Linked DNA regions of Mytilus edulis. The protein of the gene in region 1 interacts with the protein of each later gene in a biochemical or structural test. Links are inferred from orthologs where the notes say so. Each region holds a gene or a part of one and is shown in the gene's direction. Other genes may lie near its edges.

Region 1 (7,946 bases):
ATTTTGCGCCTGTCCCAAGTCAGGAGCCTCTGGCCTTTGTTAGTCTTGTATGATTTTAAATTTTAGTTTCTTGTGTATAATTCGGAGTTTAGTATGACGTCCATTATCACTGTACTATTATGCATATTTTAGGGGCCAGCTGAAGGACACCTACGGGTGCGTGAATTCTCGCTACATTGAAGACCCATTGGTTGCCTTCGGCTGTTGTTTGCTCTATGGTCGGGTGGTTGTCGCTTTGACATATTCACCATTTCCTTTCTCAATTTTATGTACACCTCATAAACATTTTACGAAAAAATGTAGGTGTGAGAGTGTCCAACTCAATGTTCAATATAAAGTACATTTCAAATCAAAGAGATCTACAATATACATGTAACTCCTGCAAAAATAATAGATCTAACATGATTTACAAACTCATTTAAGACATTACCATGATAACTGATATAAACCTTTGATGTAAATTTCATAACAATCCTACAAGAAATGAAGGTTTGAGAAATCTTTGAATGCAATTAAGTAAATAATTTTCATTTTCAAGGGGAATAACTCTATTAAAAATAGTTAATTTGCACCGACTTTCAGAACAGAATTGAGGACAGAATTGTTCTATCCAAGAATAAGGGACTGGAACACACTAACACTCAACACCACCAGTGCATGTACATGTAGTCTTGAATGTTTTAGACCGAAGACAAGGATGTTTTACCTCACTTTTCATGCTTTTACTGTATATTAAGGAATATTTAATATGGGGACGAAGTCCCCTATTACAGTAGAAAATTCAATAAAAAAAAATTTTTTTTTAAATCGGGAAAAATTTCCTGAATTTTTCATTGTACTAATGACCCAAAATCGTTCAATTTTTTTTGTCGCCTTTTTGAATTTCCGGATCGGTGCAGAAATCTACTTCTGTTTCCGGTCTTGTTTGCATGAGACTTTGAATAAAATGTATTTTTATCAGTCTAAGAAAGGAACTAATACTAATTCATTTAAAAAAAAATGTTTGTTATTAAAAAAGGTTACCTGATGACAACGTTTCTTTGTTTACATTGAATATCATAACTTAAATAACGTCACAACTAAAATCTCTAACAACAGAACAAAAATCGGAAATGTTACGGTATTTCCGTCTCTTTTTAACATTGTTGATTTAAAAAAAAAATCATAGACTTCGTCCCCATTCACAGGTAATTCCTGCCTCATATTAGTAGAAGTATGGTACAATGTCAATGACAACAAAATATGAATAGTCTCACAAATTAAACAAATTGTCAAACATGCAAAATGCACTTGTTTAAACCGATAGTTTCAGGAGACCAACCAGTAGCATATGCCTTATAAGAATAATTGTATATTACTTGTAAGACTTTAAAGGGGATTCAATGTCCTACATATGATACAAACTCGAATTGTTATTATTTTTAGGGATAAAAATGAAAGTAATTCATAGAAGTTCGTGCACGGTGCAAGACAGTCAAATGTTTCGATATAATTTAATGTAAGAAATTGCTATGTTTACCTTCTGATGTTTTCTTTGAAGTCATTGCTTGGGATTGTTTAAAATCATTTTGATTTCAACTTTTCAACTTCCTACTTTTAGAAACAGGAAAGTAACTTCCTTTGTGCACACAAATCAATGACATCATCGAATTTGATTAGCTAAAAGATGTACTACAAATTCGATTATTTGTTCTATAAAAATCCTTTTCTTTCAAAATCAATGTTGAGGATTGAGGGTTAGATAGGTTCATGTACTTAATAAATTTTAAAAATGCATCATCCAAATGTATCTAAAAGTTTTAAGGTAAGGTCGAATGGGAACACGTTCGAAACTGATTGGCCGAACTGGCACTAACTATGGCCGGAATGACAGTGGCCGAAAAGTCTTGTAATAAACAGAAAATATCTTACATTTGTATATTGAAAAGGTATATAAGACTTTTTCATAAGTGAAGTTTATTTAGATTTTCCCAGGATTTTTCATAAATGGTTTGGAAATTATTATTACTACGAACAAGGATTTGTATTAGTCTTACTATACAAATCCTTGCTACGAATAAACCCAATCTGACTATAAAACCTTGAGGTCTATCGTAACGTATGTCTTCGCACTTATGACCGCTATAATATATGTCTCTGCTTATGATCATAACGAAATCAGAGACAGAACTTTTAATTAGATTAAATCAAAACGAAGTGTTGATCTGTTCCTGACTATGATTTCTTTAACACTTAGATTAAACATATCGTTTGAATTGTTTTTCATTGTCTTATCGGGGCCTTTTATAGCTCACTATGCAGTATATGGGCTTTGCTCATTGTTGAAGGCCGTACGGTGACCTATAGTTGTTAATGTCTGTGTCATTTTGGTCTTTTGTGGATAGTTGTCTCATTGGCAATCATACCACATCTTCTTTTTTTATATATATATATCCAAATTACAATATGTCTGAAATAAACAGTTAAGAAAGCATGTTCTTTATCATACAAATTACAGACAATCTGATATTAATGATATGATAAATATAAACAGATTGCGATCTCGTGCAATTGTATTTATCTAGGTTTGTTTGATTTCATGTTATCCATTAATTTAACTTATCGCATGTTTTATCATTCGAAAAAAATGGACCAAATCACTCGAAAAACTACGATCCTAGCAGGACACTATGCTTACCGTGCTATAGGATAATAAATTTAATTAACGGTTTTTACTGTCTAAGTCTAAGAATGATTTTTTTGTGGATCGAGTCAGTCAACGAAATGGTTCACCTTTGGTTCAGTTTAAATGTTGACATTCTTTTCCTTTAAGTTTAAATGGCTGAACACGACTTAATGCATGTGTAACCAATCTCTAGCTAATGGGTTAAATTGAAGGTCAAATGAATACAGATCATTAATGAGGTCGAATTATTCACTTGCTAGTGACAATTCATCAGCGATATTTCTTTGCCTATTTTGACAAAATTGTACTGAATTGGCTGCTAAAAACCAAGGATTACTATACAAATCCTTGTAAAAACGAATTATTATTTCATTATTTCACTTTTATTATTGTTGGACCAAACGAAATCATATCTATTTTTTTTTTATATCTCGTGCCATCATGTTTTTGTAATTTAGACAATTTTGATACATATATTTAATGAACTATTCAGAGACTTGCGTTCTCAACAGATTTCATTTACATATAGACAAATGTCTAAATTACTGTCTCTTTTTTCTCTTTTTTTCTTTGTTTTCATGTATTTCACCGATGATACTTGTGTACTGGATTTTATACTGAATACAATTAGTTCAATATATATAAGAGACATGTTTTATGTCTCTATCTATTTGGTTGTTTAAAAGTCGGTTCAAATGTTTTAATATCTGCTATTTATAATACATTCGGTTACCTTGCAGCACTCTTACATGTATATATTATTAAGGAGTCACTGCTGATGCTGATACAATACAACTTAACTTCACCAGCATAAGATAAACACCATTCAAATTAAGCACGTGTTTTTATGTACCCGAAATGGTTTTTTTTTCCAAAATGGGCTTAAATCATATTAAGCCTGCATTTTGTTTACAGACTACCAAGGATTTGTATAGTCTTACTAGAATCTTACTACAACCAATGAACTAATGAATTACGGCCGCTTTTTGCAAGGATTTGTACAGTAAGACTATAAAAATCCTTGCTTTTTGTAACGAAGAAATACTCTTATTTGTAGACTTGTTTGATTTGGATAATTATTGTCCACCCTTGTGTACAAACAAAAATACATCATCGATGAAGCAGGCTTGATTACAAGATATAAAGCACCTTTCAGTTTGTACTACAAACTTTGTAGCTATTTTCATATCTGTTGTCTTCGGCGGTTTCGTCGTCGACATTTAGGTTCAATGAGTGGTTAAAATTTTGTTAGCCCACTTTGTCAAATCTTCATAGCATTTAATGAAAATTTCGACAAATATTTTATTATTATAATTTATATAATCAAAAGACAGGCCTATCGGCCAGAGCAAAATTTTGACAGAAAACCTTTTTTTCGTTTGTCTTTTTTTAAAGTTAACTATTCGATACAGTCATGGTTACAAGTTTAAGTTGCCAGTCATCAATAACCTTTCCGCAAATCTTCAGGAAATTTGACGTCAGTTAGTAACGTTGCCGGGTGGTTCCAGGGGCGGATCCGTGAGAAATTTTCATAAGTGGGGGCCCACTGACTGACCTAAGAGGGGGCCCGCTCCAGTCACGTTTCAGTGATTCTCTATATAAGCAACCAATTTTTTTCCCAAAAAGGGGGGCGGGCCCCTTGCATGCCCCCCCCCCCTAAATCCGCCTCTGGGTTCTGAACAACGGAAAGAAGCTTTTTCGTGAGACACAATACCCAGAGCAAAAGTTTACAGATATATATTTTTTTTACGCATTTCACTGACTTAAAAGGTTTTTCAAACCTTCATAGATTTTTGGGAGTCCTCTATTCAAACCGACAGTTTTAAATTCTCATTCTTCAGGGCCCGCAAGCAATCTTGAAAGATTGGAATAAATTATCACCTGAAATTTCAAACAAAACTTCTACAGACAACTTTAAGGATGCACTTACCCATGAAGTACTCCTTTAAACATTTCTCACTTAAAATAAATGTACCTATTATTTTTATCTTAATTAAAAAAAAAAAAAAAAGTAAGAATTAAAAGTTCAATAAAAATTGTAAAGTTTAAAAGTTCAATAAAAATTGTAAAGTTTAAAAATAAAGAAAAAATGAAATTAACTTTAGAAAGCAACCTCAATAAGGCACGTGCCAGAAAGTAATCGTCAAAACATTGATGGTTCTGTAACTAAAAAAGAAGAATTACACGTCGCTTGCTCTATAGCTGTAGTCTCGGTCTATAGTAAATTTATTTGCACTCGGAGATGTTAGACCTATTTTAAAATATCGTCACTCGATTTACTTTTAGAATTTATAGTTCAAATCAAAATATGTTTTAATTTTTGTGAAAAATATTCAAGTAATTGAGCTTTTATATATAAAAATTGTAAAAAGATTTGTTAAAAAAATATGCAAAAAAGTATTCTCGTTTACGCGATAATTACATTTTCGCAAAATTCGATGACGTTTACAGCGAAATAGTCAACCTTACTTGGTCGATAAATTATTTTGATTCATCACCTGTGTTGTAGAAATAGAAACTGGATGATCATCTGAAGAAGAACTATAAGAGCATCAAATCAGAAATTATAACAGGTTAGAATAAAACAAATAAATGAAGACCTCCCTCAACGCGTTATGAAAAGTGTATTTATTTACCATAATAATTTACTTGACATTTGTAAAGAGTTCGATATGTTTATGTTATATGTATGTGCAGAGTAAATTCTGATAATTCGTTTGTATGGCAATGCATTTGGCTGTCCTCACATTAAAAAAACCTGACTTCATTTATGACACGAAATTACTGACATCGTTGTTCATCTCATATACAAAGTACAGTCTAACCACTTATTCATGTTATTAGACAGCATTATCGTGGTATTTATTTGTGTTTCAGGTTTGAAAAGATGGCTTGATAGTCATATAACTATTACCCTATTCAACTCGTTCAAATTTATGCATTTTGTGTCAATCCCGTTTCAATTTTCTTTTCTGCAGCAAATACACCAATAAACCTATGTTGTGAATGTGACTTTGTCTTCATGTCCGTAATGTCGCGAAACAGTGTTAATGTTGTTTCCCGTATTTTTGACTTTGTGTGATAGTGACGTGGGAGAGAGAGATGTGTTGCCGGATGGACAAGATGGCTGAATGTTTGTACTGTTGGAGTGTATGCCGTGTATTTTGTATTTTATGTAACGTCTGTATATACATATAGTGTGAATAAATCGTGACAGTTATTTTCTACAAAGATGGTGTTAAGTTATAAATTTATGAATGCTCGGAATTCTACGTTTACAACATTGGTGGCAGCGAACAGAAACAAATCTAGGCAAACAGATGATTTATATTTTTATACAGACGGAATGCTTTTAAAGAGGGGAGGAAATATGAAATCAAACAATGAAGGTACTTAAACAAATTTATTCGACAATACAATCTTGACCAAATGTATACGTTGCAACAGAAGGACGATGAGCCACTGGAATACGAAGATTCACCTTTTAAAAACTGATATTGGAAATTAAAACAGATTCGACCACATAATTCACAGAGAAGTATTTAATCGGCAAAAGTGGACGAAAATTAATTAAACATTTTTGTTCGGTGTAAGCATCAAGGATAAAATGACAATCTAAGGTGCAAATTGAAAGATATCAACATTGTCACGTTTATCTATAAATAATTGTTGTTTTATGTATGTCTATAACTTATATTTGTCAGCATTTTGATATATATTAACCATGAGCTGGTGTGACGTACCAGAGTTTGACGGTACTGAACTTTTTGAAGGTTTCTGGATGAAATTTTCTATCTTTGCTGAAGGTTTTAATTGGTCATCTAGTGATATGGCTTTTTATTTGGTTACTTCACTGAGAGGTAAAGCTTTAGAATATGTGTCGTATTTACCACACAGAGATCTTTATAATGTATCTGTTTTGTATTCTGCATTGAAAAGTCGATTTGGTGATATTGAGACTGCTCAGATTTGTAGAATGAAATTGAGAAATATAACTATGCTTACAAGTGAAAGCGTTCAAGAGTATGTATGTAGAACTGAGATAAATGTTGGGAAATCGTTTCCTGGTGTGAACGAAGATTTATTAGTGAAGCCCCGCATAGTATCTGTTTATTGGGTCTACATGTTTCGCCTAATCGATAGGCAATTGTCCTGATGATGCCTATCGATTAGGCGAAACATGTAGACCCAATAAACAGATACTATGTGTCGCAAAAATAAATTCAATGGGCCATTTTAAAAAATAATTAAAAATGGGCCATGTTGTCAAATGAGTAGGCCATTTGAATTAACTTCTGTAAAAAAAAAAGTATCAGTATATTTTGGCAAAGAGGTGTTGGTACTTACCTTTATGATTTTAAATAAACTCATGGATATTGATCCTGTGATTTTGTAACTTCTATTTCAATGAATATACAGTAACTTCTTCCAACCCGAACAATATTTAAGTTAACCTTTATTTACAATGTGTCGACAATAAAGACAACAACACTCATGTTTTTACCACATAGTATCTGTTTATTGGGTCTACATGTTTCGCCTAATCGATAGGCATCATCAGGACAATTGCCTATCGATTAGGCGAAACATGTAGACCCAATAAACAGATACTATGCGGTAAAAACATGAGTGTTGTTGTCTTTATTGTCGACACATTCTTTTTTTCAAGATGACTGGGAATACCTAGCGGTATCCACTCGTTTTTACCCTACCGCACGATCACCACTTCAGGTGTTGGTTCACTCGTATCTTTATTTACAATGTTTAAACTGGTACCATTTGACGATATCTAAGCGTTTCGAAATGAAGTGAAAAATATTGTGCCCAACTTGGCGCTTACATTTGTCACTGAATGCGCCATTTCTTGTCAATATGCGCTATAGATGCAAGGCGCACATCCTTCCTGATCACTGGTGTTCTGGTCTTCTCATGGCCAAATTGCAATTTTAAATGAGCAGTGAATAATTAGATATTGTTAAAAAAGCATTTCCCCACAACCTGTTATTTTTTCTTAGAAAGATACCAGGATAAAAAAATATGGTGTTACTGTATCGCGGTTATTTTCGCAGGGTGTAAATATTCACTTACTTTGGCGAATAGAACAAAATCGCCAAAATAAATTCCACCAATTTTATAATGCACATTGAAAAGTTTTGATTCTAATATGACGTGCTTCTTTAGCTTTGTAAAGAAACCATACTTTATTATCCAATAAAATTAGTTTGCACATGCGTATATTGATTACGGCAGAAAAATGAATTTCGTCAAATTAGTATGCATT
Region 2 (6,339 bases), on another chromosome or scaffold:
CATACACAAATTTTTACAATAGCTGCATAAATAAAGTTTTAGTAAAATCCTGCTTTGAATTCAAGGGTTCTAAGAGTCCATCTCATATTTTTTTAAGCAAACTTAAGTCTTTCACATTTTAACAGTCAATTAAGCTTATTAACTATAAGAGCAGTTAATATGCAGGGGCAGATCCAGCCGTTTAAAGAAAACACCAGGGGGATGGGTGTTCAAACTTTATTTCCCAATCAAATCGCATTATCAAAACAAAGAGGATGTTCCAACCCAAGAACCCCTATCCCCCCCTTATCCGCCACTGATATGTGTAGAAAACTGAAATGATAATGATGCAACATCACAACAACTATCGCTGGTGTATTATAAGTACTTCATCATAAAAGACATTCAACCCTCTCATTCAATAAAAAGAGAACCTAGTAAGTGGCTACCTAGTAAGTGGCTACCTAGTAGGTGGCTCAGTGGCCTTAGTAGTTCATATACTGTATCAGACTGTTATCACTGAGGTTGCAGGTTTCAAACCCCACACATGGCAGGTACATTCAACTCCAATATCAATTGACTAGGATTCCAGTTTTCCTGCCAAAAATTGGTGGTTCTCAAGTTTCTTTCTCCACCAATAAAAACAGACTGCCACAAAAAAAAAAACAGTACTGAAAGTGTTAAACACTGTATAATCAATCAATCAAATAAAAAACTTCACATTTCACATAGTTAAACTTACTTCTTGTTAATCAAACATGCAGCATACTAAAATAGACAAAGTTCAATTTTGTGATTGAGACCAAAATTTATGGATTATGATGCAAAATTATGGCTAATAGAGATTATAGTGTTTCAACAACTGTGACTTAGCCATTTCTTATAATACATAACTTATTATAAATATAGCTTTTTAACACAATGACAATACTAGCTTTTATTCTAATTAAAAATTCCAAAAAGGCAGGGGAATAAAAGAAAAAAAACAATAATAATCTTCATATAAAATAGTAGATTTTCAAACAAAAAAAAAAAATCACAATATATATATATAATAAAAACACTCAGGTCAGTCAGCCCCTCACCCCAAAAAATATTTCTGGATCCGCCACTGTTTTACAAACAAAATATGTATTATTGAAAAAAATTGCTGCTTGGAAATAGTTGGGTATAAATCTATATTTATGTATCTATATATATATGATTTATATAAGTATATCTATATATGGTTTATTTTTATCTTTTTGGACATTAAAATTTCATTTATATTAAAAATAACTATCTGTTATTGTTTATCATCTTATCATCCATACTATGATTAACAGACTATTTCGTAATTGGGGACAACTGTTATTTTATATTATCCTTAAATAAAACAATCATGTGATCGAAAATTTACAGACAATAGTAAGGTCATGTGATGGCCTGATGCCAATACACAAATCTGGAAAATCTCAAAATCATAAATTTCAAACCACCTGTCTATTCTTTCACAAAAGTTCAACCATAGATAACTTCAACTTTAGTTAGTAACCTTTATATTATCTTTTACTTAAAATATTAATTGATATATTTCATCAAATGTAGACCATCGTTTTCATTTTGATTTAATTCTCTAGAACCAGGCGCGGATCCAGCCATTTTAAAAAGGGGGGGTTCCCAACCCAGAGTAAAGGGGGGGGTCCAAATATATGCTCCCATTCAAATGCATTGATCGGCCAAAAAAAGAGGGGGTTCTAACCCCCGGAAACCCCCCCCCCCCCCTTCTGGATCCGCCACTGAGAACCAACCACCCCCTTTTTTCCTAAAAGAAAGTCATGAGAAGTTTTAAAAAGTTGATTTGTAGACCTCACTTAAAACAGACATTTGCATAAAAGTAGTAATAATTTAACTTGGAACACCTTGGTTCTATATATCTAAAAAAAAACAATATTTGTGTCAGTGTTTAAGAAGTTTTCAATGTTATTTTGTCAGGTCAATTGAACTAAAGTTCAATTTAAAAATTAAAAAAGGTCAAAATCTTTAAAATATTTTAATTGAACCTAAATCTAAATGTACTTTGTGCAAAACAATTAAATATCTTCATTTTTTTGTTTTAATGAAAACAATTTTGCAAGTTAATTTATATGTCAAATATGCTTATATTTAATGTTTTAACACATATTTAATAAAATAATTACATTTACTATCAATTCTTGATTTCTTTATCTTATACGAACAGTATACTTTAAAAACATTCAAATCTTTTTTTAGGAGAAAAACTAGAGAAAAACTAAATGCATAAAATATGTGATATTGCATTTTCTATTTTGATATGTTCCCTCACAGGTAAGCCATGGAAAAACAATAAACAAACACCTACTAACCTACTGTTGTGGTGAATCATCAGATAAATATAGAAAATCTACTCACAGTGGGAAATACCCATGCAATGCCAACACACAAAGTTCATTTGGAGGATTGTCAACAAACATGTTCAGACATCAACAGAGAAAAGGGGGGGATGTATTACTTTAAAAATTTAAATATTCAAAAGGTTTAAAAACGTTTTGGATTTTTAACTTGTTTAAAGACAACAACAAATTTTATTTCATTGGATTTAGGTATAATTTTTGGTATAAAAAAAGATTCACATATTAAAAAGCTATTCAAGTGAAATAGATAAAAATGTGAATCAAAATTTATAATTTTTTAGACACAGAGGGCATAATTTATTATTAAAAAATTTTAAGAAAAAATGCAGCCAACTAGGACTACAAATGTAACAATTATCATAATCCCTTTTTTCAATTTTTAGTCGTTAGGTAAAAGGCCAGAGGCGTATAAAAGTTGATACAGTGTAAATTGCAACCAGACAGCAACCATATGACACAAACTAAAAAAAATCTACAGTTCAACAAATATCCTTTAAAAATAGAAAGGTATAAATTTAAATATGCTTGCCACAGAAGGTTGAATAAATTATTCCATGACCAAATAATAGGTCTATCAAAAGCTACAAGTTTTCTTTTTGACACTGGTTGTAAAAATATTTTTATAAAGTTCTCCAAAATTTAGTAAAAAAGTGTATGTATTTGTAGGATTTGATAATGTCCCTAATGAAATAGTGTCCACGGGACATTATTTCCTAGTAAATACGGTCTCAGGACGATATTCACTTATTTATATGTGTCCTGGACACATTTTTCTATGAAAAACTGTCCTCCGGTATGAAAAAGTGTCCCTGAAAGTGGACACATTTAAAAATACTATATTTCAGTGATAAGATGTCCACCTTAGTATTCCTTACATGTACTTCCCTTGGAGGACATAATTTGTTAATAATAGTAGGATTTAATAATGTCCTCTATTTCATAACATTCTGTAGTCAAGTGGACACTATTTCATAGATATTGCTATGACAATCTGTCCACTTTGGGGACAATATTCCATGGCAATGGACATTATTTAATACCTAAATTCTAGGAAATAGTGTCCATGTGGACACTATTTCCCAGGACACTATTTTGCCTTACATATTCAGCTAAGATCTTTGCCACTAGATTATCTTTTTTGTGATGTACATGTATGAATTAATGAAGTGGTTCAATATTCAACCACCATAGATATACATGTAGGAAGGTGTGGTCCATTAATTAGAGAAGTTGTTGAACTTCTGGAAATAAAACTCCTATTGAATGGTTAGCTCCTTTGGAAGTTTAGGCTTTTTGAGCAATAGCTCTTATTTTGAAGTTGTTTTGTATGTAAAAAATAATTTATCAGATCACAGGCCATCTCTAATCTCCTATCTAATCTGAAACTTTAACTCCTCGCCATGGTCAAGCGTATTTAAAATAAATTCTAGTTCTTTGCTTTCGACTTCGTCTTTATCGACTTTCGTTACCTTTATTATTAGTCTCAAAACTTCCACGTGTTAATAGTGATGATTCATATTTGGAAATCCCCTTCTGAGAGCATGGTTTGGCGCCGAAAGTTTCAGTAACATGTGTTTGTTAAACCACTTTCAAAAAATATTTTAGGTTAGATTTTAGAGAATATTACGTTTATAATCTTCTTTAGAGTTTCTAAGGTAACGGTTACTCGCAATATCAAAACAGTTCTCAATAAAGTTTAAGAATTTAATGTTTTCCAAATATGGGTTGTAAATATCCTGACGTCACAGTCAATATTTCCTTTTACAGAAAGTGCCCTTTTCCAGAGTTCAAATCAAGTCACACCCGAGAGAATCGTCCAATCAAAATCAAAACATTTTCTCGAACCAACGATATCATTTTTAGGTTTAACCGATACATGAAAGAAAAAATGTCCGAGAACTCCGAAGGAACAATGACAACATAGTCGATGATCGCATTGAGAACCAATGAGAGCTATCCAAAGTGATGTCATGCTATATTTAGAAAACTGACTCATTTCATATAAAAAGGAGTGAAATACGTTGGACAAAGCATACGTCTTGAAAACTTACTACAGTGCAAGCCTCACACGAAAAGAAATATAGAGAGGTGACTCATATTTCCACCATTTTTACATCGACCTTCGTTGGGATTAGTCATCACAAGTTATCAACTGAAGTTGAAAAAGTTTTTAGACTTTATACTATAACAAACTTTTTAGACAATGGAAGTTTTGTCCGAGCGGACATTTTATCCAGAAGGGATCATGAACAAAGCCGGAGACCCAAACGTGAATAGTTTGAAAAGAAAGATGACATTAGACTTTAATTCATCAGGAAAAACAAAACAACAGAAGATCCAAAATCTGCTTGCTTCTCCTGATTTGAACATGCTGAAGTTGGCATCGCCAGAGTTAGAAAAGTTTATAATTCAAGCAAATGGATTTGTTACAACAACGCCGACACCAACACAATTCATATTTCCAAAATTCGTGACAGACGAACAGGAATCATTTGCTAAAGGATTTGTGGAGGCATTGAACAATCTTCATGGAAAAACAGGACAATGTTTAAAGGGTGAATCCTCTTCGGATTGTGAAAGCCAAAGTGACTCTGTGTCTAATGCCAGTTACACGTATGTACCTCCAGACTATGTTCTTACCTCAGCTACTACAACCCTCCCTGGTGGTTTATTCACAACTAACACATCTTCTGCAGGAAATCATTCAGTTAAATCTATGCCTTCCCAAAGAATCAGTTTATTACGACAGGATGAAGAACCACAGACCGTTCCTTCAATAGCAACTAGTACAACTGACAGTTTTTCAGTGTCGCCAATAAACATGGAAAATCAAGAAGTTATCAAACTTGAAAGAAAACGTGCCAGAAACCGTGTAGCTGCAAGAAAGTGCAGAACGCGTAAACTTGAAAGAATCTCCCGATTAGAAGATAGAGTAGATGACTTGAAAGGACAAAACTGTGATTTAACAGCAACAGCAAATTCTCTCAGGGACCAAGTCTGTAAACTAAAGAAAAAAATTATAGACCATGTGAACAGTGGCTGTCAAATCATGATTTCAAGTACAAATATATTCTCATAACATTTGAATGAAATGATCTGTGCCTTGACAATGTGTTCATAAGGATGTTTTATGTATAAGTGCCAATCACGTATTGTTTTTGCATGTTTTGATGATAATTTTGTTGCTGACATTCCGCAATTTTAACATTTTGTCTTCTGCAACAAAATTTCTATCTTGCATGTTTAAATGTGATAATTTCATTTAGTCATTATTTCTGAGGTTATCATGCAAATGTCATAATTTTATATATATATTATTTTCTACAAAACATCTCTGGTCTTTGTAAGCACCAGTGGATGCTGTTATTTATATTTTGAAAAAAAAAAAGAAAAAAACCATGAATAAAAAGTTAAAAATTTAATTTTCTTGTATGTCATGTTTGTAAATTAGAGTTATTCCCCTTACATTGTAAAACATAATACAGGTTTACAGAGGTATGGATGCCAATGCAACGAGACTACAAACACAAACAAAAACATATCTACAGGTCTACTTGTAAATGTCTTGTGTGCTCTGTTGTTACAAGTATGGTTTCTACATTTTCTACCTCTAAAGTTACTTTGGTTTTGCTTTTGTAGGGTTTTGATACTTTTGTTTATGTACAAAATGTATGGTATTGAAACAAAATAATCTAATCATACTCATGTTTGTCTTGAATGTTCATAGACTATTTTGCTTCTGGTTTAAGGGACCACCAGATTTCTGAATTTCTTGTGAAAAGATGTACCTAAAACTATCAAAATGTAAAACAACAAAAATACAGAGTTTGAACTCTAAGGAAATTTCAGAACAGAAAGTCTGTAATATCAAATGACAAAATCTAAAGCTCAAACACATCAAATGAATGGATAACATCTGTCATATTCCTGACCTGCATAGCAGTCA

What was found.
Region 2: of the proteins of stress-activated protein kinase JNK-like (region 1) and transcription factor Jun-like, one has a biochemical effect on the other in vitro, tested with the Drosophila melanogaster proteins (2 studies listed by BioGRID). The link is inferred for Mytilus edulis from reciprocal best matches to the Drosophila melanogaster genes bsk and Jra.

The regions. Positions count from the first base shown.
Region 1 is NC_092352.1:12,133,386-12,141,331, forward strand, and holds the start of stress-activated protein kinase JNK-like, read left to right. Parts: upstream 1-4,928; 5' UTR 4,929-5,238; intron 5,239-7,946. UniProt on the Drosophila melanogaster protein: Mitogen-activated protein kinase and key component of the c-Jun N-terminal kinase (JNK) pathway which phosphorylate and activate transcription factors involved in a wide range of biological processes including response to various stresses, cellular proliferation, differentiation and migration, and regulation of cell shape.
Region 2 is NC_092344.1:111,934,022-111,940,360, forward strand, and holds transcription factor Jun-like, read left to right. Parts: upstream 1-4,072; 5' UTR 4,073-4,596; coding exon 4,597-5,472; 3' UTR 5,473-5,815; downstream 5,816-6,339.